5 linked regions of the Ovis aries genome follow. The protein of the gene in region 5 purifies or fractionates together with the protein of the main gene of each other region. This does not show direct contact. Links are inferred from orthologs where the notes say so. Each region holds a gene or a part of one and is shown on either strand. Other genes may lie near its edges. The genes, in order: WRAP53, NEDD1, DCAF7, TLE2 and CCT3.

Region 1 (4,210 bases), on a different chromosome or scaffold from region 5:
GTCCTGGGATGCACGCTCCGAGGTCGGACGCTAGATGACCCCGGAGACCAGCGGCCACTGCGGCCAGGATGGTGGCTCTGGACTTTTGAAGAGCTCAAAACTTTTAGCGCCAGTCCGGAGCACGTGGGAGGGGAAAATCCCAATCCCAGCAACCCTCGCGAGGCTCCTGGCACAAAGCTGGATAGTCGCCATGACAAGTAAGGGCAAGCAATTCCCCTGCGGGCGGAGGCGAGGGGAAAGGAGAGTAGGAGAGGAGAGTGCGGGGAAAGTCAGGATTCTCGCCATATTGGTAGTGTAGCTAGTGACCGTTTGGATAGGGGAAGTTCGACAAGCGAAAACCATAACGGCCGAATTGGTGGAAACCATTTTGGAAGGTTTCTGCCATTGTTTCATATATGGTGAAAGGAAGAAAGCCTTTGCACTTGCATTCTCTGACTGGAACACTCCTCTCCTAGATAGCTGGATAGTTTTTACGCATCAACTAAACTGTCAACTTTTAGAAAGGCCTTCCATAATGTCCCTATCTAACGTATACCTCCATATGCGCTATATTACACCATCTTAATTATTTTCACACCCCTATCACTTTCTGACCGAGAAGGCAATGGCACCCCACTCCAGTACTCTTTCCTGGAAAATCCCATGGATGGAGGAGCCTGGTAGGCTGCAGTCCATGGGGTCGCTAAGAATCGAACACGACTGAGCGACTTCCCTTTCACTTTTCATTTTCATGCATTGGAGAAGGAAATGGCAACCCATTCCAGTGTTCTTGCCCGGAGAATCCCGGGGACGGGGGAGCCTGGTGGGCTTCCGTCTATGGGGTCGCACAGAGTCGGACACGACTGAAGCGATTTAGCAGCAGCAGCATCACTTTCTGAAGTGATTTGTTCCTTGCCTTCAATACATAGCAACCTAAGACTTAGAAGGGCAGAGACCTTGTCTACAATCTTATTGATTGTTGTTTCCCAGTACCTATTACAGTACTGGGTAGCAAGTAAGAGTTCAATAATAAATATTTATTGAATGAATGAAAAGAGACTGAGGTCTGAAAAATTTAGCTAATAAGATGCAAAACCTGTAACATCTAATAGCGCTGGCGCCCTCTGCCGGTTGGAAAGGAGAGTAGATGCTTTAAGAACGATCGCCGAAGACCGCAGGGGGAGCTCAAGCACTTCCCGTCGAGGAGGAAGCTTTCGGACTACAGCTCCCAGCAGCCACTTCAAACTTCCCAGGGCCCCAGGGCTTGACGGGAACCCGTGACCTGTTACATTCCTACCCCTCCCCTCCCTTGGGTTGCGCGCGAAGTCTGATCAGGGATGCGGATGTCCAATGGAAAGGTGGACCCAAATCTCGCGAGAACTGGTGGCACGTAGCTACCGACTAGGCTTAGGAACGCTGTTTATTCGCTGGGCCTTGTGCCCCCTCCAGGGAGGAGGAATACACTGGAGCATTTTTCCGGTTCTGCATCCCAATCCCTGCGAACTTTGAAGCGGTCTCGGCTGCTCCGCGGGCCCAGCCCCTGGTAGTCGACGGGAAGAGGGCTGCCTGGCCGCGGCTGATGTCTGCCGCGCTTCCTCTGCAGTATGAAGACGCCGGAGGCTCCACCATTAGCTCCAGACTGCCTTCCTTCAGACCAGGCCCCAGCTCCAGCCTGTCTCTCTCATCAGGCTTCCCCGATGGATAAAAATACGGACCCTGAACTGATGCCGCCGCTACGCGATGGGGATGATCTGCCCCAGGTGTCCTCAGATCCCATGGCTGGCTTAGCTCTGTCCCAGGAGCTGGAGGAAGGGGTCCCAGCTTCTCTCTCCACTCCCCTGGAAACAGGGTTTGGTCCTCCTAGTGAGTTGAGCAGTCGAGTCGAGGAGAAAGAACTTTCTGAAAATGTGAGCCTTCCTGCAGAAGAAACAAACAGGCCAGAGTTGGGGCCCGGAGAAGACGTGGAAGGTGTGTCTGAAGAACTCAGTCCAGAGGATGAGGGATACACGTAAGTGGTGCTAGCAGTTGGCTCAGGAGTCTGAGGAGATTGGGAGAGTGAGGTAATCTCATAGGCCAGTCCTCAGCCCCATTTCTCCGGGCTCATTTCCACTTCGCTTTGGCGACCCAGGTTTGTTGTCTACCCCCCATCTTCCTTACAGCATTTGGAACTACAACTTCTCCCAGGTACCTCGGTTTCTCAGTGGTTCTTGGTCAGAGTTCATCACCCAACCTGAAAACTTCTTGAAAGGCTGTAAGTGGTAAGTAAGGATTATAGGGCAGCGAGAAAACCACGCCCAGTTATCTGGGAGAAGGATCTACCATGGTGTGAGAAGGATCTTCAGTTGCGTTTAGGGTTGTGTGTCTTCTCTCCTCAAAGTCCTAGGGGTGTTTACCTATCCTAGAGGTCAGCTCAGCCCTAGCCCTGCACTTGGAAAATCTAGGTCTGTCCAGCTTTCTAACTCTTTCATCCTCCTAGGGCCCCTGATGGTTCCTGCATCTTGACCAATAGTGCTGATAATATTCTGCGGATTTATAACCTGCCCCCAGAGCTGTACAATGAAGGGGAGCAACTGGAATATGCAGAAATGGTAAGGGCAGGGGCTAAGAGTTAAGTGCCGCTTCATCAGACATTGCACATTCAAGGCCTTCCTGTAGATGGAGAAAGAACAGTCCACATGTTTCCTGTTCTCAGGCAGGACACTTCTTCGCCATGAGTTTCCACAAGTAATATTTCTACCCTGAATTCTGAAGTCACTTAAAAAGATGTTTGTCCTTTAGTTAGGAATATGTGTTTCCTGTAAGAGTAGTGGCTTTCTCACTGTGGTTTTTAATTGACTTACAGAGTTGTGTTGAATGACCACCAGTAGTCACTTACTGTGTTTGGTATTGGGGTAAAGTGATGAATGAGGCAAAGAGCTGGTTTGCTTTTTTGTGTGGGAGACAGACAACAAATGTGTAAACCAATAAATAATGAAGTTCTTTATAGATAATAATAAGTCTGTGAAGGAAATAAATAAATGCTATGAAGGAAATAAACAACAAAGAGAGACTAACTAGAGGATGCCGCTTTATTTCTACCTATTTGTATTTTTGAATAGTGTCATTTTATTTAGGACTTCCCTGGTGGCTCAGATGGTAAAGCATCTGCCTACAATGCGGGAGACCCAGGTTCGATCCATTTTATTTACCTATTTATTTAAACTTTATTTATTTGGCTGTGCCAGATCTTAGTTGTGGCACGCAGGGTCTTTTAAATGTGGCGTGTTGGATCTAGTTTCCTGACCAGGGATTGAACCCAGGCCCCCTGCATTGGGAGCTCAGAGTTTTAGCCACTGGACCACTGGGGAAGTCCCGAGGATGCTGCTTTAGATTAAAAAAAAGGTCAGGGGAGGGGCTCTCTGAAGAAGGGGCATTTGAGCTGATATCTGAAGGATGACGAGATCAGTCATGTGAAGTTTTCCAAGAAAAGGCAAAAATGCTATTATACAAAGACCTAGAGTGGGAAAGAGCCTTGTGTGTTCAAGCAACAGAAAGCAAGCCAGTACGCTTGGACCAAGGCCAGTGAGGGGGAAAGCGTGGTGAAGATGGCAAGGTGTCTGGCAGCCACATCTTGTGAGTAGGGCATTTGGAGTGTTTTGAGGAAGCTGTGGGAGAGATTAAAAGAGAGGAGTGAAATGATGGCTGAAATCTAGAGAATGGATTGTAAGTGGGCAAGAGTGGAAATTCATCTGGATGTGTATCCCACAGTCCAGGTAAAAAATGATGTTGGCTTGTGCTGGTGTGGTGTCAGGAGAGATAGAGGTGGGTGGTTTTGAAGTATATTTCTTAGGACTTGGAAGTCAATTGGGTGGATAGGGATACAGTTTACTCAGAGGATATGAAGAAGTGTTGAGACAGAGGTAAGGATTTTTAGATACTTTAAATGTGAAATGTAAATCTAAGGAGGGACTTGGAGAAGGGTGCTGGGGATATACGTTGAAAGTGGGAGAGCATGTCGATGGTATCTTGGAATTGAGGATGGAGTCAATCTCAAGAGAGAGTGGAGATGGAGAAGAAGGCTCAAGCAGATGGAGCGCTACGGCGCATGGAGATGGGTACAGGAGAAGTTACAAAAGTGGAGGCCAAAATCACGTCTAATGATTCTGATCATGTCTAGCCCTGTTGAGAGTGAGGGCAGATTTAGAAAAGGACCGTAGAAAACGTTAATGACTTTAAGAAAAGCACTTTCAGA
Region 2 (3,514 bases), on a different chromosome or scaffold from region 5:
TTTAAATGAATTTCTCACTATATATTCTCACCCTTTTGTTTCATAAGTTAATCTCTCTGATTTAGGATAATACTGGCTTTTTCATTTCCAATCACACACTTCTTGAAATTTGTTTCCATTTTAAATAAGATCTAAATAAAAAGGAATATATAGTTGGTGGTTCTTTTTTTAAATTTCAGAGTTTTATAGTGGACTCTAAACCATAATGAATTGTCATGATTTTATACACTGGAGTAGATAAGGTGGCCTAATCAGTCATTGTTCTACTCCACTTGCTTTGGAGTGGAACATAGCGGGACCACACAGTATAAATTCATCTAACATATTAATAAAAATGACTTAGAATTTCTAGCAGTCCTTTTATTTCTAGCAGTCCTTTCCTAAAGGTGTCTGGTAGGATTGAGCTCAGCATCAGTTCCAGCCCACAGGTGATAGAGACTGGACAGATAGAATGTGTGAGGGTAGGAATGGCACTTGCCTTTCAGCCTCAGTAAGTGGAGTTGAGGCATGTGGGATCTAGTTCCCGGACCAGGAAGTGAAACTGCATCCCCAGAGTACCACTGGGCAGTAAGGTAAACTGTACTCTTTAAGAGCAGGCAGAACATCTTAGTCATTTTTGGATCTTCAGATCATGTCCAAGTTGATCATCGAACATTTGTTGAATTAAATATCAACATCAAAACAGTTTTGATTTTGGGACTGCCCTGGTAGTCCAGTGGTTAAGACTCCTCCTTCCAGGGCAAGGGATGCAGGTTCGATCCCTGGTCCAGGAACTAGGTCTCACATGCCTCGACAAAAGACCCTGCATGCTGCAACTAAGACCTGACTCAGCCAAAACAAATAAAAAGCCAAAAAACAAAAACAATTTTGATCTCCACTTCTGCCACTGTTTAAGGTGGAACTTTATTTAAAGTCCACATTAATTTTCTTTGATTTTGTATTTTACCTCTCTAAAGTAGACAGATTGGTCTTGACAGTATGATAATGGATATGATAACCTAGAAATTTGACCTGATGTTATCTTCAGATTTTAAAGTTCTACCCATTGCTTTTGTCTTAGGGTACAGGATTCCTGTAATAGCCAATTTCCATTAATTATTTAAGTTCATTACCTGCATTAATAATATATTAACATAAAAAATCCTCTCTCATTAGGGTAAGCAGCTAAAAACATAGGTTTTGTTCTAAGCCCTTATGAATAATTTCAGTTGTTTTTGATTGGAATTTTAATATATTGATCTTTGATGGATGCTATTCTTATCTATTTTATTTAAAGGTAAACTCCTGATCTGCAGTAATAACCAGATTCTAAATTTTATTAGTCTATTTAGACCGAAGTCAATTCCTCAAATGATGTCTGCAAGAGAATTATAGTGACCATACTGAAATATTGATGTACTGTGCCCCAGTATTTTTTTTTTGTTAATAATTTTGACTCGGTTAGAATTTCAAAGCTGGAAGAAACCTTGGGGGAGAGAGAGGGGGTCATCTGCACCCTTTTAAGAATCTGGTGCTCTCTTGAGCAGAGGATGTTTTTGAAATGCATGGACTATCAATAACAGTAGATCTGGTCCTCATCTTTCATTTCTCACAGGTAGAAATGTAGGCTCAGAAAGATGAGATTACTTGCCTAGAGCTACGGTAATTTGCCTTCAGTCACAAAATGTACGCTTTGGAATTAATTTCTATTCCTCCCCCCCCCCCTTATGGTGTTCAGCTGGAGTAGGAATAATTAATGTAACTATATAGTGTATCTGAAAGTTAATAGGGAAAAAACAACCATGCAACATTGTAGCATAGTTACTGATGATACCACCAGATAGATGACATGCATGCATACTCATTGTGAGAAACTTGGTTACCACTGTATTTTTAGCCATTTGTTCTAAAAATATTTATTGAACATGGGTATGGTCTTTGCTGTAAGGAAACTGACATTCTGGTGAGAGACAGAATAAATGAGTAAACAGTACCCAGTGACAGTGGTAAGTTGTTAATGCAGAGAGCTGAAATACGTTACTGAGTTAGCAGGTTACATTAGGTGGGGAAGGGGTCTTCTGAAGTTGTGGTATTTAAGTTGATATCTATTGATCAGATGAAGTCATTCAAGCCAAGGTTCAGGGGAATTAACTTTCCAGGCAAGAATAGCTGTGTAGAAGTCTGGAGGCAAATATAGTGTTATTACATTTAAGGAATGGAAGATGGTCCTTGTGCCTAGAGAATCACTGGGTGGGGAGGAAACTGGTGACAGACCAGTTAAGAAAGGGCTAGATGAATAGGGCAATGAAAGCCAGGTTGATGATGAGTTTGGAATTTAGGTGTGATTGGAAGCCACTGAGGATTTTAAAATAAGACACACATGATCTGATTTACATTTCATAAAGGTCACTCTCTATATAGAACATGATATGTAGGGAAGCAAGAGTGGAAGGCAGACAACCAGTTAGGAGGCTGCTGTTGTTCTTTGACAAGTTTTGGATCAGGGTGCTTGCAGTGACGGTAGATAGAGGGGGGCCCCTGTAGGGTATATTTTACAGTTGGAGTTTGGAGAACTTGCTGATAGACTGAGTGGAGGGAGAACAAGGAATCAAGGTTCCTTCTGAACTTCTGTCTTGAGTATCTGGATGAATGGGACCTTACAGTGTGGGGGAACAGTGTAGACTTAGTTTCTGATGACAAGATGTTTGAGACTTGGTCCATTTTGGGGAGAGGCACTGTGACTTGGAACTAGTATCTTGTCCTCTTTATAAAACTTCCCCCCTTCTGTAAATTGAAGGGTTTAAACTAGGCATTCTTCAAAGTCTCCTCTACCTTTAGAATTTTCTGAGCTGTGGGTTGATTTTAATTTGAGATATTCTGTGGAGTATAAGAGCAGGTGTTGTTAAAGGGACAATATGCAGGGCAAGTAAGCCCTAAAGGGACTCCGAGACTTGGTGGTTTCCTAAGCTTCCTCTGTCACCACCTTTATGTGGAAAGAACATGAATCTGGTTGATTTCCTTAAAGCCATTTTGAACACTTTGCAGACTATTGAATCCTTGTGGAAGATGATGAGAGCTGAATCTTTAGTACAAGAATGGACATGTCTATAGCATTTCCCTCAGATGTTTTTCATGTGCTTACTAAGTGTTGGATGAGAATTGAAAGTCAGCTCTGGTCTCTATTAACTTAACATGACTTTTTTTTTTTTAAATAGCAAAAGCAGACATGTGTCAGTTTAAATTCAACGTCTATGTATTTGGTAAGCGGAGGCCTGAATAGTACTGTTAATATTTGGGATTTAAAATCAAAAAGAGTTCATCGATCTCTTAAGGTAAGCAACTTGAAAAAAAAATCTTTACAGAAATGTGTTTATTAGTAATTACCAAAATTTAATTTTGAGCTTTTATGATAAAAATAAGCAGCTTCAGAATGAAGTGAGATTTGTTAGGGAATATAAAGATGTGTAGCCAAAAGCTTACTTTTTTGAGTTTATTTTTCCTTCCATGTATGTTACTGTGTTATTGTGTTGCTGGG
Region 3 (3,514 bases), on a different chromosome or scaffold from region 5:
TAATCTTATAATTTTAGGGTAACACTTACCTTGAAGTATGTTTACTTTTTTGGGAGCAGGAAGGCAAGAAGAGGGGGAATTTCCTGGCAGACAAAACTAATTGATTAACTCTTCTGTAAACTTGTTTTATGAATTTCTAGTATGTTCACTTAATACTTATATGTGTAATACTATTTGGAATTGAATATGGTTAACTTTGATGGTGATGTTTCTCCTATGTGTATTGGAAGAGCTGAAGGGAGTGAGCTCTAATTGTATTTACAGAGCCTTCTTCTGAGTGGTTTTGTAAAATGGTCATAAATCTTTTAACTCCCAGAGCCACCACGTGCTGGTCCTCCACCAGGGAAATCACAGGATGTCTCCTGTGGGTAGTGTTTCCTTTTCCCTCCAACTCCTGTGCAGCGAGGAGTGTTAATGTCTGTACAGATTAAAAGGATGCGTAGACATTAGGTGAGAGCTGTGAGGTTGTCCACAGAAGTTGGTGACTAGATTATCATTCTTAGTGAGAGGTCATCCTTCAGCTTTCTGTGCTCCCAGCGCCGAGATCTGTTAAAGTCTGCTTGACTGGGTCACCATGAAACAAGGGGCAGAGAAAGAGAGCTTGACCTGCCGGGAACGCCAGGAAGGACGTCCTGGCACCCAGTGGAGCAAGTTGCTACATTTTGGTTCTGTGACACTTAGCATGTGTTCTCTGTCAGGGTCCAACCCGGAAAACTAGAGCTACTCCGCATGTTTAACCTGAGGGGATTTAATGAGGAGATGGCTCACACAGCTGCTGCTGCTGCTGCTGCTGCTAAGTCGCGTCAGTCGTGTCCGACTATGTGCGACCCCAGAGACGGCAGCCCACCAGGCTCCCCCGTCCCTGGGATTCTCCAGGCAAGAACACTGGAGTGGGTTGCCATTTCCTTCTCCAGTGCATGAAAGTGAAAAGTGAAAGTGAAGTCGCTCAGTCGTGTCCGACTCTTAGCAAACCCATGGACTGCAGCCCACCAGTCTCCTCCATCCATGGGATTTTCCAGGCAAGAGTACTGGAATGGGGTGCCAGATGATGGTAAAGATGCCAGATGATGGTAAAGATGATGGTAAAGCTGAGGAGCCACACTGGCCGCAGTGAGGGCGTCTGGGCAAGAAGAACAGCGAGTTTAACAGCCAGCAGGCCCTGAACCAACACCCTGGCCTCAAAGAAATGAACCTCAGGATGGTTGTCCGGAGAGAAACATGACACCTCCCAGCACCTTTGATTTTTCTCTGTCCGCATCTCTGTTGAAGTACAGACTTGCTCGGAGGTTCTCATTGCTGCTGGCGGGTTGGTGCAGAGGAGGGTAGCGTGTGTCTGGGAGTTGTCGCCCGCTCTTGGCTTCTGATGAAATATGTGGGTGGAACACAGAGGAAGGAGCAGTCAGAGTGGCTCTACACGCTTGGCTGTACTGCCCGTGGGCACCTTATTGCTTAGTGATGCTGCCGTGGTGTCCCTGTGCCTGGGAGTCAGAGCGCCAGCTGTGGGTGCACGTGTGGATAAACAGTGCCGGCCAGTGCCTAGGTCTGTCGGGTCTTGGAATGGCCAGCCTAGTTTCCTGCTGAACCACTCCTCGTTCCCACCGTAGAGAGGGAAGTGCAATTTCTTCATTGTCAGCCAGAGGAAGGGCAATTTATGATGTTGATTTGAAACAGATGCTTGTTAGTCAGTGTCCCCCGGAAGGTAGAACCTCAGGAAGGCTGGAGTCACAGTGTGAGGGACAGGTTCCACTCATGTCTCCCCAGAAGTCAGCTCTTACAGTCCTTGACCCCAGGAGATGGGTTTTGTTTGGCATTTTTGTTTTTTGTTGTTCAACATTTTGTTTTTCTTTTTTTCTCTCTCCGCTTGTCTGGCTCTGGCTTTGTCGGTCTCTCTTTGTCCCTTTCTTTCTCTGAAGCCCTCTGTTGCTCTCTGCCTGTTTTCTCATAGACGTTAGTGCAATACAAAGTTTGCAGCAGGTAATAAATGCATGCGAAGAGTTGACTCATTGCAAAAGACTCTGATGCTGGGAGGGATTGGGGGCAGGAGGAGAAGGGGATGACAGAGGATGAGATGGCTGGATGGCATCACTGACTCGATGGACGCGAGTCTGAGTGAACTCCAGGAGTTGGTGATGGACAGGGAGGCCTGGTGTGCTGCGATTCATGGGGTCGCAAAGAATCGGACACGACTGAGTGACTGAACTGAACTGAATAAATGCAGAAGAAAATAATTCAAAACCTAAGTTGTTATACTTATGAACACAAACCAACTAGGAGAAACAGCATTTCCTAGGAGAGCAATATTAACCCTCTTTGTAAATAAAGGAATACCCGAGCCTCCCATGATTCAGAGGGGCTCTTACCTCTTTCTTGCACATGGGTCTCAGGTCCAGGTTTCACAGCAGAACTGTGGTCAGAGGAGGGCCACTTCTGCCTCTCCAGTCGATGACCTCAGCCTTCCTGTGGTCATGGACTGCTCTGATTGTACATAGATGAAAGCCACAAGGGCCAGGAAATAAATGTCTCAAGTCTCGTAACAGAGCGGCAGGAGACAGCCACTGGTTCTGGCTTCATTGAGCCTGTCCAAGCCGACCGGATAGAATACTTGCTGAGTTATCTGTGCTCTGTTGGTCAGCAGGGTGTGTGCTGTGTTACCGCGGGAGGTGGAGGAAGAATACTTGGAAGGCAGCAAGTGAGAGGAAGCCTACCAGCTTCCACTGTAGGATGGTCGTCACTGTTTGGGAAATCGTTGGTGTTAGCACCCTCAGTTTCCAGTCCTCGCAGGCGTGGTGTGGCTTTATTTACCTCCTTCTAAGTCATGAGCAGGGGTTTAGATGAACCAGGGGACAGTAGGTTTCCCTGTGATATGAAAAGGAGGTAACTGACCTGAATCTGACAGTTGCTTCTTACTCACCAACAGGTCTACGACATTGCATTTAGCCGGGCAGGGGGTGGCAGGGACATGTTCGCCTCTGTGGGTGCTGATGGCTCGGTGCGGATGTTTGACCTCCGTCACCTAGAACACAGCACCATCATTTACGAAGACCCACAGCATCACCCACTGCTGCGCCTCTGCTGGAACAAGCAGGACCCCAACTACTTGGCCACTATGGCTATGGATGGAATGGAGGTGAGAACCCCACTTCGGGCTAACCTAGGCCCTGCCACTCCGCTCCAGCCCGGCTTAGTGGATCCAGGAGAGCGGTTCTCAGCTGATGGCAGTTTTCTCCCCAGAGGATTTTTGGATCCACCTGGAGCCGTTTTGGATTGTCCCAACTTCGGAGGGGGTGGGGGGTGCAAGAAGGGGTGGTGCTCCTAGTGTCTGGGAGTTGGAGGCCTGTGGTGCCCAGGACCACTCCCCGTAACACACAGCACAGCGTTGCCCCACCCCAATGTCAGGAGTGCCGAAACTGAGAAAACCTGACCTAGAGTAAGGGCCGTGTGTCGAGAACTTGTAATACATAGAGAGCTGGACTCAGAGCCAAGAAAAGCAGTATCTAAAAAGTCAACCAAATCA
Region 4 (3,691 bases), on a different chromosome or scaffold from region 5:
AAAGAGGATGCCCGATTACATTTGAATCTTAAACAACACATCACTCCTTAATAGAAGTACGTCCCAAGTATTGCATGGGACATACTCTAACCAGAAGTCCCAAACCTCAGGATCTATTGCCTGATGATCTAAGGTAGAGATGATGTAATAATAATAGGAATAAAGTGCGCAATAAATGTCATGCACTGGAATCACCCTGAAGCCACCCTCTCTTATCTTGTTCCTCATGGAAAAATTGTCCTCCATGAAACCAGCCCCTGGTGCCACAAAGGTTGGGGACCGCTGCTCTAAAGGACAAAGAATTTGTTAGTACCTTGTGGGATATACTTGTACACTAAACAGCATATAATTTATTAGCATAAGTATGTCCCCAAAATGCATGAGATATCATTTATACTATTTTAGTGCATAGATCTCAAATATTGCATGGGATATACTTACACTAATTTTGTTTGTTGTTTTCAGTATTGATATATCCCAAGTAGTTCATGGAACTTACATATATTTAAAACAAACAGAGGGACTTCCCTGTTGGCCCAGTGGCTGCCAATGCAGGGAGCCTGGGTTTAATCCCTAGTCAGGGAACTGGATCCCACATGCCCTAAGTCCTGGCACAGCCAAATACATACATATTTGTTAAAAAATAGATAATGAACTATTTGGGACCCACCTGTACTAAAAATGATTCATGGTTGATCTTAGGTTCAAATGTAACTGAGCACCCTGGTTTTTCTTTTTGTTTTGCTTCTTTCCCCGAATTTTGGCCACGCCACATAGCTTTTGGGATTTTAGTTCCCTAAGCAGGGATTAAACCTGGTCCCTCAGCAGTGAAAGCACAGTCTAACCACTGGACAAGTAGGGAACTCCCTGGGCACCCTATTTTTATCTGACCACCCTCTCTTGGGGCTCCCCTTTCTTGAAGGTCAGTTAGAGCTCTTTGGGACCTTGGGTTTACCATCTGGCACTTGGCGGGAAGGCTGGAGCCTCAGTAAAGGGGCTTCCTGTCCGCCAGGAGAGGGCAGAGGTGCAGGAAAGGAAGGGAGAGGCCAGACCAGGTTGCCCTGTCTCTGTCTGCCACCCCTAGCCCTGGCTTCTTCCAGTCCACCACCCTCCTGAACTCACCCTCCTCCCCCAGGGCGGTGGTTCGTGAGCACAGGGAAGGACAACCTGCTCAATGCCTGGAGGACGCCGTACGGGGCCAGCATCTTCCAGGTACTGCATGTCTGAAGTCTCCACCCCACCACCACCACTGCAGGACACCAGGTGCCCCAGGACCCAGAGAGGGGTGGGGGTTGAACAGGGGAGCGTCCTCACCAGCCTGAAGGCCACATCTGTGCACAAACTGTGTTATTAGTTGTGAAGTTGCTCAGTCGTATCCGACTCTTTGCAACCCCATGGACTGTAGTCTACCAGGCTCCTCCATCCATGGGATTTTCCAGGCAGGAATACTGGAGTGGGTTGCCATTTCCTTCTCTAGGGGATCTTCCCAACCCACGGATTGAACCTGGGTCTCCTGCATTGTAGGCAGACACTTTACCGTCTGAGCCACCAGGGAAGTGTGGTGATAAATCCATATAAAATTCACCATCTTAACCATTTTAAAATGCAGGGCTCAGTGGCATTAAGTACATTCATACTGTCCTATAACCATCCCTACCATCATCTCCAGAACTTTCTCATCTTCCCATACTGAAACTCTGTCCCCATGAGACACTGACTTCCCATCCCCTGGCCCCACCGTCTACTTCCTGTCTCTGTGGATTTGATGACTCATGTGAGTGCGATCACACAAAATTTATTCTTCTGTGTCTCTTCTCTCACTGAGCATCACATCCCCCAAGGTCCATCCATGATGTAGCAGGTGTCAGAACCTCCTTCCATTTTAAGGAATATAGAGACTAATATTCTACTGTGTGGATGGACCATACTGTGTTCATTCATCACCTGTTGATGGGTACTAGGGTTGTCTCCACTTCTGGGCTGCTGTGAATTGCGCTGCTGTGAACATTCATGTACATTCTCCTGTGCATGCCTGTTTTCATTTCTCCTGGGCAGATATCTTGGAATGGAATTGCTGAGAGTTGTTTAATCTTTGAAGGAACTGCCAGACTCTTTCCCAAATTTCTTATTCCCACTGGCAATATGGAAGGGTTCCGATTTCTCTCCATCCTCCACAACACTTACTCTGGCATCTTTCTTAGAGCTATCCTGCTCGATGAGGAACAGTTTTTACATTTTTTAAAGGACTGTGGGGGAAAAAATAGTAGATGATGTAACACTGACTGATTTGGTCCTTGCACTTACCGGCCAGAGCTTACTGGACTTAAATGAGCTTTCAGGTCAAAGCCTGAAATTGTATTGGGCCCCTTTCAGTAGTTTGCCGAGGGAATTCCCTGGTAGTCCATTGCTTAGGACTCTGTGCTCTCACTGCCCAGAGCTTAGGTTCAATCCCTGGTCAGGGAACTAAGATCCCTCAAGCTGCGTGGTCAAAAAAAAGAAACAGTTTGCTGGTGTAGGTCATCCTACTTTTAAGCCTTAGCTCTCTTCTGTGCTGTGTGACCTCATGTCTGATACACACCCTCTCTAAGCTTCCCAGAAGATGGTGGTTCTGCTGTTCTAGGGAACTGAGGTCTGGCTCTTCCCAGGAGCATCATCACTCTTCTCTGGAAGAACTGTTACCCTCCTTCTCTCCTCACGGCTAGGCTCCCCATGTTGGGCCCCCAAGTCCTGTCTCAGCTCCGGCCTTGACCATAGCTCACCCTTGGGGACAGGTGCTGCCCCAGTTGCCTTGTGTCTTTCCTCTGAATGTGAAGGTGGTCAGGAGCATGAGCCAGACTGTGCTGGCCTTGGCTGTGCCTCACTCTCCCCTCCTCTGCCCCCTCCTGTCCACAGTCCAAGGAGTCCTCCTCTGTGCTCAGTTGTGACATCTCCGGGAACAACAAGTACATCGTGACAGGCTCTGGGGACAAGAAGGCCACCGTGTATGAGGTGGTCTACTGAGACCCCCTTCTTCCTGCACCCCTGGCCTGACTCCCAGGGGAGGGTCATTCTGAACCTCCCCTCTAGTCCTACCACGAGCCCTAAATCTCATCCATGCTCTGGCTGAGCCCTCGTGTCCTCCCCTGCTGGATGTGGGGCCAGATGCACAGGAGGACCTTTGGGAAATAAATGTATTTATCACAACTGCCTTCTTGTTTTGGGCTGGGGAACTGGGGACATTGCTCATCCTGGAGGGACAGGGTGAGCAAATGGTGATTTCAGAACCTTACTTAGTGGATGGAAAAGTGCTGGCCAGCAAGAGCCACTCCCTGTAAACCAGTCTCTCCTCCTTGGCACAGCTGACACTGGGGCTGCATAATTCCCGGTTGGGGAGCCGTGCCAGGGCCTGTGGGGTGCTGAGCAGCATCCCAGCCCCCACCCACTCAATGCCAGGAGCACAGATGTCGCCAGACATGGTCCCCTGGGGCTTAGACTCACCCCTAGGGAGTAGAAGCCCTAGTCTAATGGGACACGAGTATCTTGCGAAGGACTGAGGACCTACACCTGGGGCTGTGCAGGCAAGGCTTGGGAGCATCTCTCTATGAGATCAGAAGAGACTGGAGCAGGAAGAAGGGCTCCAGAGACTTCCCTGGCAGTCCACAGGTTAAGACTCCACGTTTCCACTGCAGGGGGCATGGGTTCCATGCCTGGT
Region 5 (4,263 bases):
TACTGAGTATCTACTATTTAATAGCTCCGGTTCTAGGCACTAGGAATACAAGAACGTTCCATTTAGTGGGAAACGCGTAACAAATACAAATACTTTCCGACTAAGTAATAGGAAAAAACCATACATACAACTAGCTTCATTTTCCCCAAAGCTGGGCAATTAAGAAGGTCTGGTTTTAAGGGAGAGGAAGCAGGGCATCTGACACACACCTCTTTTGTTAGTAGGATGACTAGGAAGCTGCTCCATCTGAACATCCACAGGTGTGGTGCCTGGGGAAAAAAAATCATAGTATCTCATGACTGACAACCCATCTTACTGTTTCACTATTAACAATTTCTCAAGTTCTCCCCAGTAGAGCTCAGGCTGTTCCAATTTGGAGAGGAAAAAGTGTGAAAGGATGTACTGTCTTAGTTTATGGCTAAATAGAAGTAACTGTTTTTGAATTGTTTTTGGTCTCACGGCCCTTCCTTTAGTTTGGAAAACAGCTATTTCCTTTTTTTTCTGGACAAAAGAGTACTTTAACCACGCCTAAACCTTAAGAGTCTCCTATGAACGGGCAAATATTCTGTGTTCTCTCGTTTTAATTTCTGTAGTATCAGTCCTTTTCCTATTCTGTAGGGTTATTTTAAAACTCTTGCTCTCCAGCATCTCCAATGAACCTGCAGCTGAGGCGATGAGGAGGGCACGGGAGGGAATGGGCGTGGAGAAAGAAAATCTTGAGAGCACTACAGGAAACACTTGTTTTGAATAGGACAACTCGGGGAAAAACTTAAGCCATCACCTCCTGGTACCGCTGACAGCCTCAGAATAAAGCATCTGCCTAAGAAAGGGAAAGTCCACGCAGAGCAACGAGTCAGAGATAATAAACCACAATTCCCAGCGCGCCGGGAAGAACAGTCACCGCTCAGCCCAGTCGGATTGGACTACAACTCCCATTTCACCCGGCATCAAACCGGCCAGGTCTTCTCTCGACAGCCGGTTTAGGTCCCGCCCCTCTATGCCTCCCCGTTGCTAAGGCTGGAATGAAAGCGTGGAACTGCCACGCCTTTCTTGACCTTCGCGGCCCGAGAGAAGCCTAGACGCCAGAGTTTAATGACCTCACCTGCGGTGTTAATCGAAAGCCTCAGCCCCAGCACCCACCCTTGTAGTTGATACACATGCGCAGTGGCGTGCCGGCCAACTGCCGGAGCCTCGGCGCTTGCGCTGAGGTTCGCGCCGCACGCGGCCGGGAGCGGCCACCCTATTGCGCAAGCGCCTGTGCCCTCGCATTTCTATCATCGTGCTTTCTCTATCTAACTTGCCCTGCGTTCTTACGCAGGGGGTGGGGCTAAGAATGTCAATTGGTGTGTTTTCGTGCCGGTCAGTAAGATGCATGCAGTGATTGGTGGTGACTCAGAGAGTAGCGGGTTTAGGTGTGAGCCCAGAGGAGGCAGCGTTTTCTGGTCTTCTCTCTGGTTCTCTCTCTCCAGAAGGTTCTGCCGGTTCCCCCAGCTCTGGGTACCCGGCTCTGCATCGCGCCGCCATGATGGGTCATCGTCCGGTGCTCGTGCTTAGTGAGTTGTGGGGAAGGATGGGAAGGGACTCCCCTCGCCGCAGCCCCCCTTTCCGCACTTTACAGCCTTGCCCCAGCCCAGTCGCACCCTGGTTCGGCCACGGAGCCTTCCAGTCGTTCATTTTGAAAGCCCCTTCTCCCGTCTCCCCCTTTTCTTAACCCATTCCCCTGTCTTCCGCAGACGCAAATTGACCTTACCCTCGCCGAACGCGAGGGTTTGTCTTTCCAGGCAAGTGACCTCGGAGAGATGCTTCCCACTCTGCGTTCCGTTCTTCACTCCCAATCCTTGCCCCTGCACGTTTTTCCTTGAGCGATTTTCAGTGTGTAGCTGAATGAATAAATGTTTTTTAATTTGACCTAGCTTTATAATCTTGGTCTATCCTTTAATAGTGGTGTGGCTCCGGCCAAATAAAAATCGAAATAGTTCTATCTTAATTATTAGGGTTAACAGTATTTCCTCGTAGAATTGTGAGGCTTAAATGAGATAAGTAGATACAATTGTTTAAAAGAGGGTCTGGCAAACAGCGAGTTTCCTTGGCCATTTTTTTTTTTTTGATAACTGTTTTGAATTTCCTTTTGTCAACCCCTGTTCCTGATGTAACCCTGCCTCTCTCACTGATCATATTATATTAGATGTAATTATCCCTGCAAATGTCTGCTCCGTTGTAATCTTTCCCACTTTAAGAACTGAGTTTTCCCGATTTCTTAATTGGTTCTTTTTACCTTCGGGAACATCCCAGATTTCAAGTCCCATTTCACTTGTCTTCCCCTGGTATGTTTCTATCCTGTGTAACTTCTGTACCTCATCCTGCATGATCACTTGACATGCTTGACTAGCCATTTTGCCTTTCTCACCATCTCATCTTCTGTGTAAAGAATGCTATTCCGAGATTTTATCTATTTTCTCTACACCTGGAAAATAGTTATTTTAAGACAAGCATTCGCTTAACCCAGGGGGAAAAAAAAAAACAAACTATTTTTTCTGATGAATGCATCAGAAAGATCCATGCAGGATTTTAGTTAACACTGCTTGAAATAGGGATCTAAATCCAGAGAGTTGTGTTTAGATTTGATGGGACCAGATCGAAAATTTTACAACAACTTGTAGGGAAAACATAGTTTGGAGAAAGGAGTGAGAAAAACAATACATTGGTTCAGTTAGGGCCATTGGCTTTTCTCTCATTGAAAGGGCCCTAGGGTGAGTTAGTGGTGCATTGTGCAACCTTTCTGAGGTCCCTGTTAATCCTTGGCATTAGCAGCTGTAACTGATTCTGCTCCCTGTTAAAGTATATAGTACACTGTTACTGGTGGGAAGTTGGTACCCGAGGCATTCTGATTATATCCAAGCATGAAGTGACCATATCTTGCAAACCCCAATACTTTTGAGTGTGTGTTCTCATTCCACAGCACACTGGGGGTCACTGTCAATAATTTATGCTGGGACTGTGGGTATGGTTCACCATATCCTAGTATGAGAATGCAAACTCCCAAACTCTCCCTTGTTATATAAAGGAGAGATTCATGCTTTTTTAGGGACACCAGCCCTTTGAGAATCCAATACATGAGTATAAATACACGAGTGTTTGGTTAGAGGGAAAGTGATGACCAAGATTCCACAGTTGAAGCTGTGTGGATTGTTTCTTATTATATCAGGAATTGAAGTAAATAAGTAAGTAGCCATAAGTATGTGTGCTTATTTTTTAATAGTTTGTTGAGATATAATTGATTTAAAGAGTACAAGTCGATAAGCTTTAATCAGTGTATACATCCATGAAACCTGGGTGTGTGCTTATTTTCAAAGATTAGGGAGTAGCTTATATACAGTGGAGCAATACTGGTCTGTCGCCTTTTTTTTTTTTTTTAAGGATAATTGCTTTACAGAATTTTGTTGTTTTCTGTTGAACCTCAACTTGAATCAACCATAGGTATACATATATCCCCTCCCTTTTGAATCTCCCTCCCATGCCTTTTGTTTTTATCTGTTTTAGGCCAGAACACAAAGCGTGAATCTGGAAGAAAAGTGCAATCTGGAAACATCAATGCTGCCAAGGTAGCATGCGTTGTTTATAATAGTTTGCCTGTATTTGTGTTTGTGTGTTTGTTTGTGATCTAATGGAAGAAAATTTGATTTCCTTTCCTTCAAGACATTTCCCTTTTGGTGGTAAGGAGGAAGAAGCCTTCCCTCTCTGAGATGTGTCTAATGGCCTTCTCATATTGTGCATATTATATTGCGTGTTTGTGTCTGTCTCCCATACTAGACTGAGTTACTTGGATACAAGAACTATATTAATTCCCTTTTGTATTCCTAGTACTCACTGTGGATCCTGGATAGGTATATTCAGTAAATACCTTTTGAATGAAAGAATGAAACAGCCCTGGATATAATCTAGCATGGGGTGGAACCACTCTCATGGAAGGAAGTACAGATATGTGGACTCTCAGTTACCTGTGAGCTGCTGGGAAACTGTAGCTGTGAGAGCTGTGTCCCTTTTTTTCCTTTTGAAAAGTTATTCCTTTGCACATCCAGAAAACATTCCCAAAGGGGGAAAGACAACAGAATCTAGCCATATGACACCCTATATTGAAAGTTAGTTGCCAACCCTACTACTTTAGAAGTGTCCTTGTTAAAACACTGGCTCTGTGGGTTGCCCATGCCCCTTCCCCTGAAACGCACAATCACCAGCCTCTGGTTTGTGCTTAACACGTTTTGT

What was found.
Region 1: the proteins of CCT3 (region 5) and WRAP53 purify together in Homo sapiens (co-immunoprecipitation; 3 studies listed by BioGRID and IntAct, with this or other methods). This does not show direct contact. The link is inferred for Ovis aries from reciprocal best matches to the Homo sapiens genes CCT3 and WRAP53.
Region 2: the proteins of CCT3 (region 5) and NEDD1 purify together in Homo sapiens (affinity purification with mass spectrometry; 3 studies listed by BioGRID and IntAct, with this or other methods). This does not show direct contact. The link is inferred for Ovis aries from reciprocal best matches to the Homo sapiens genes CCT3 and NEDD1.
Region 3: the proteins of CCT3 (region 5) and DCAF7 purify together in Homo sapiens (affinity purification with mass spectrometry; 4 studies listed by BioGRID and IntAct, counting the BioPlex papers as one, with this or other methods). This does not show direct contact. The link is inferred for Ovis aries from reciprocal best matches to the Homo sapiens genes CCT3 and DCAF7.
Region 4: the proteins of CCT3 (region 5) and TLE2 purify together in Homo sapiens (affinity purification with mass spectrometry; 3 studies listed by BioGRID and IntAct, with this or other methods). This does not show direct contact. The link is inferred for Ovis aries from reciprocal best matches to the Homo sapiens genes CCT3 and TLE2.

The regions. Positions count from the first base shown.
Region 1 is NC_056064.1:27,207,188-27,211,397, forward strand, and holds the start of WRAP53 (telomerase Cajal body protein 1), read left to right. Parts: upstream 1-1,397; 5' UTR 1,398-1,583; coding exon 1,584-1,987; intron 1,988-2,138; coding exon 2,139-2,237; intron 2,238-2,455; coding exon 2,456-2,567; intron 2,568-4,210. UniProt on the Homo sapiens protein: RNA chaperone that plays a key role in telomere maintenance and RNA localization to Cajal bodies. Specifically recognizes and binds the Cajal body box (CAB box) present in both small Cajal body RNAs (scaRNAs) and telomerase RNA template component (TERC).
Region 2 is NC_056056.1:166,666,722-166,670,235, forward strand, and holds part of NEDD1 (protein NEDD1), read left to right. Parts: intron 1-3,194; coding exon 3,195-3,311; intron 3,312-3,514. UniProt on the Homo sapiens protein: Required for mitosis progression. Promotes the nucleation of microtubules from the spindle.
Region 3 is NC_056064.1:47,618,352-47,621,865, forward strand, and holds part of DCAF7 (DDB1- and CUL4-associated factor 7), read left to right. Parts: intron 1-2,917; coding exon 2,918-3,127; intron 3,128-3,514. UniProt on the Homo sapiens protein: Involved in craniofacial development. Acts upstream of the EDN1 pathway and is required for formation of the upper jaw equivalent, the palatoquadrate. The activity required for EDN1 pathway function differs between the first and second arches.
Region 4 is NC_056058.1:18,564,973-18,568,663, forward strand, and holds the end of TLE2 (transducin-like enhancer protein 2), read left to right. Parts: intron 1-1,135; coding exon 1,136-1,212; intron 1,213-2,892; coding exon 2,893-3,000; 3' UTR 3,001-3,183; downstream 3,184-3,691.
Region 5 is NC_056054.1:106,316,190-106,320,452, reverse strand, and holds the start of CCT3 (T-complex protein 1 subunit gamma), read left to right. Parts: upstream 1-1,457; 5' UTR 1,458-1,522; coding exon 1,523-1,553; intron 1,554-3,540; coding exon 3,541-3,602; intron 3,603-4,263. Other genes in the region: TSACC (TSSK6-activating co-chaperone protein), read right to left, coding at 210-246. UniProt on the Homo sapiens protein: Component of the chaperonin-containing T-complex (TRiC), a molecular chaperone complex that assists the folding of actin, tubulin and other proteins upon ATP hydrolysis.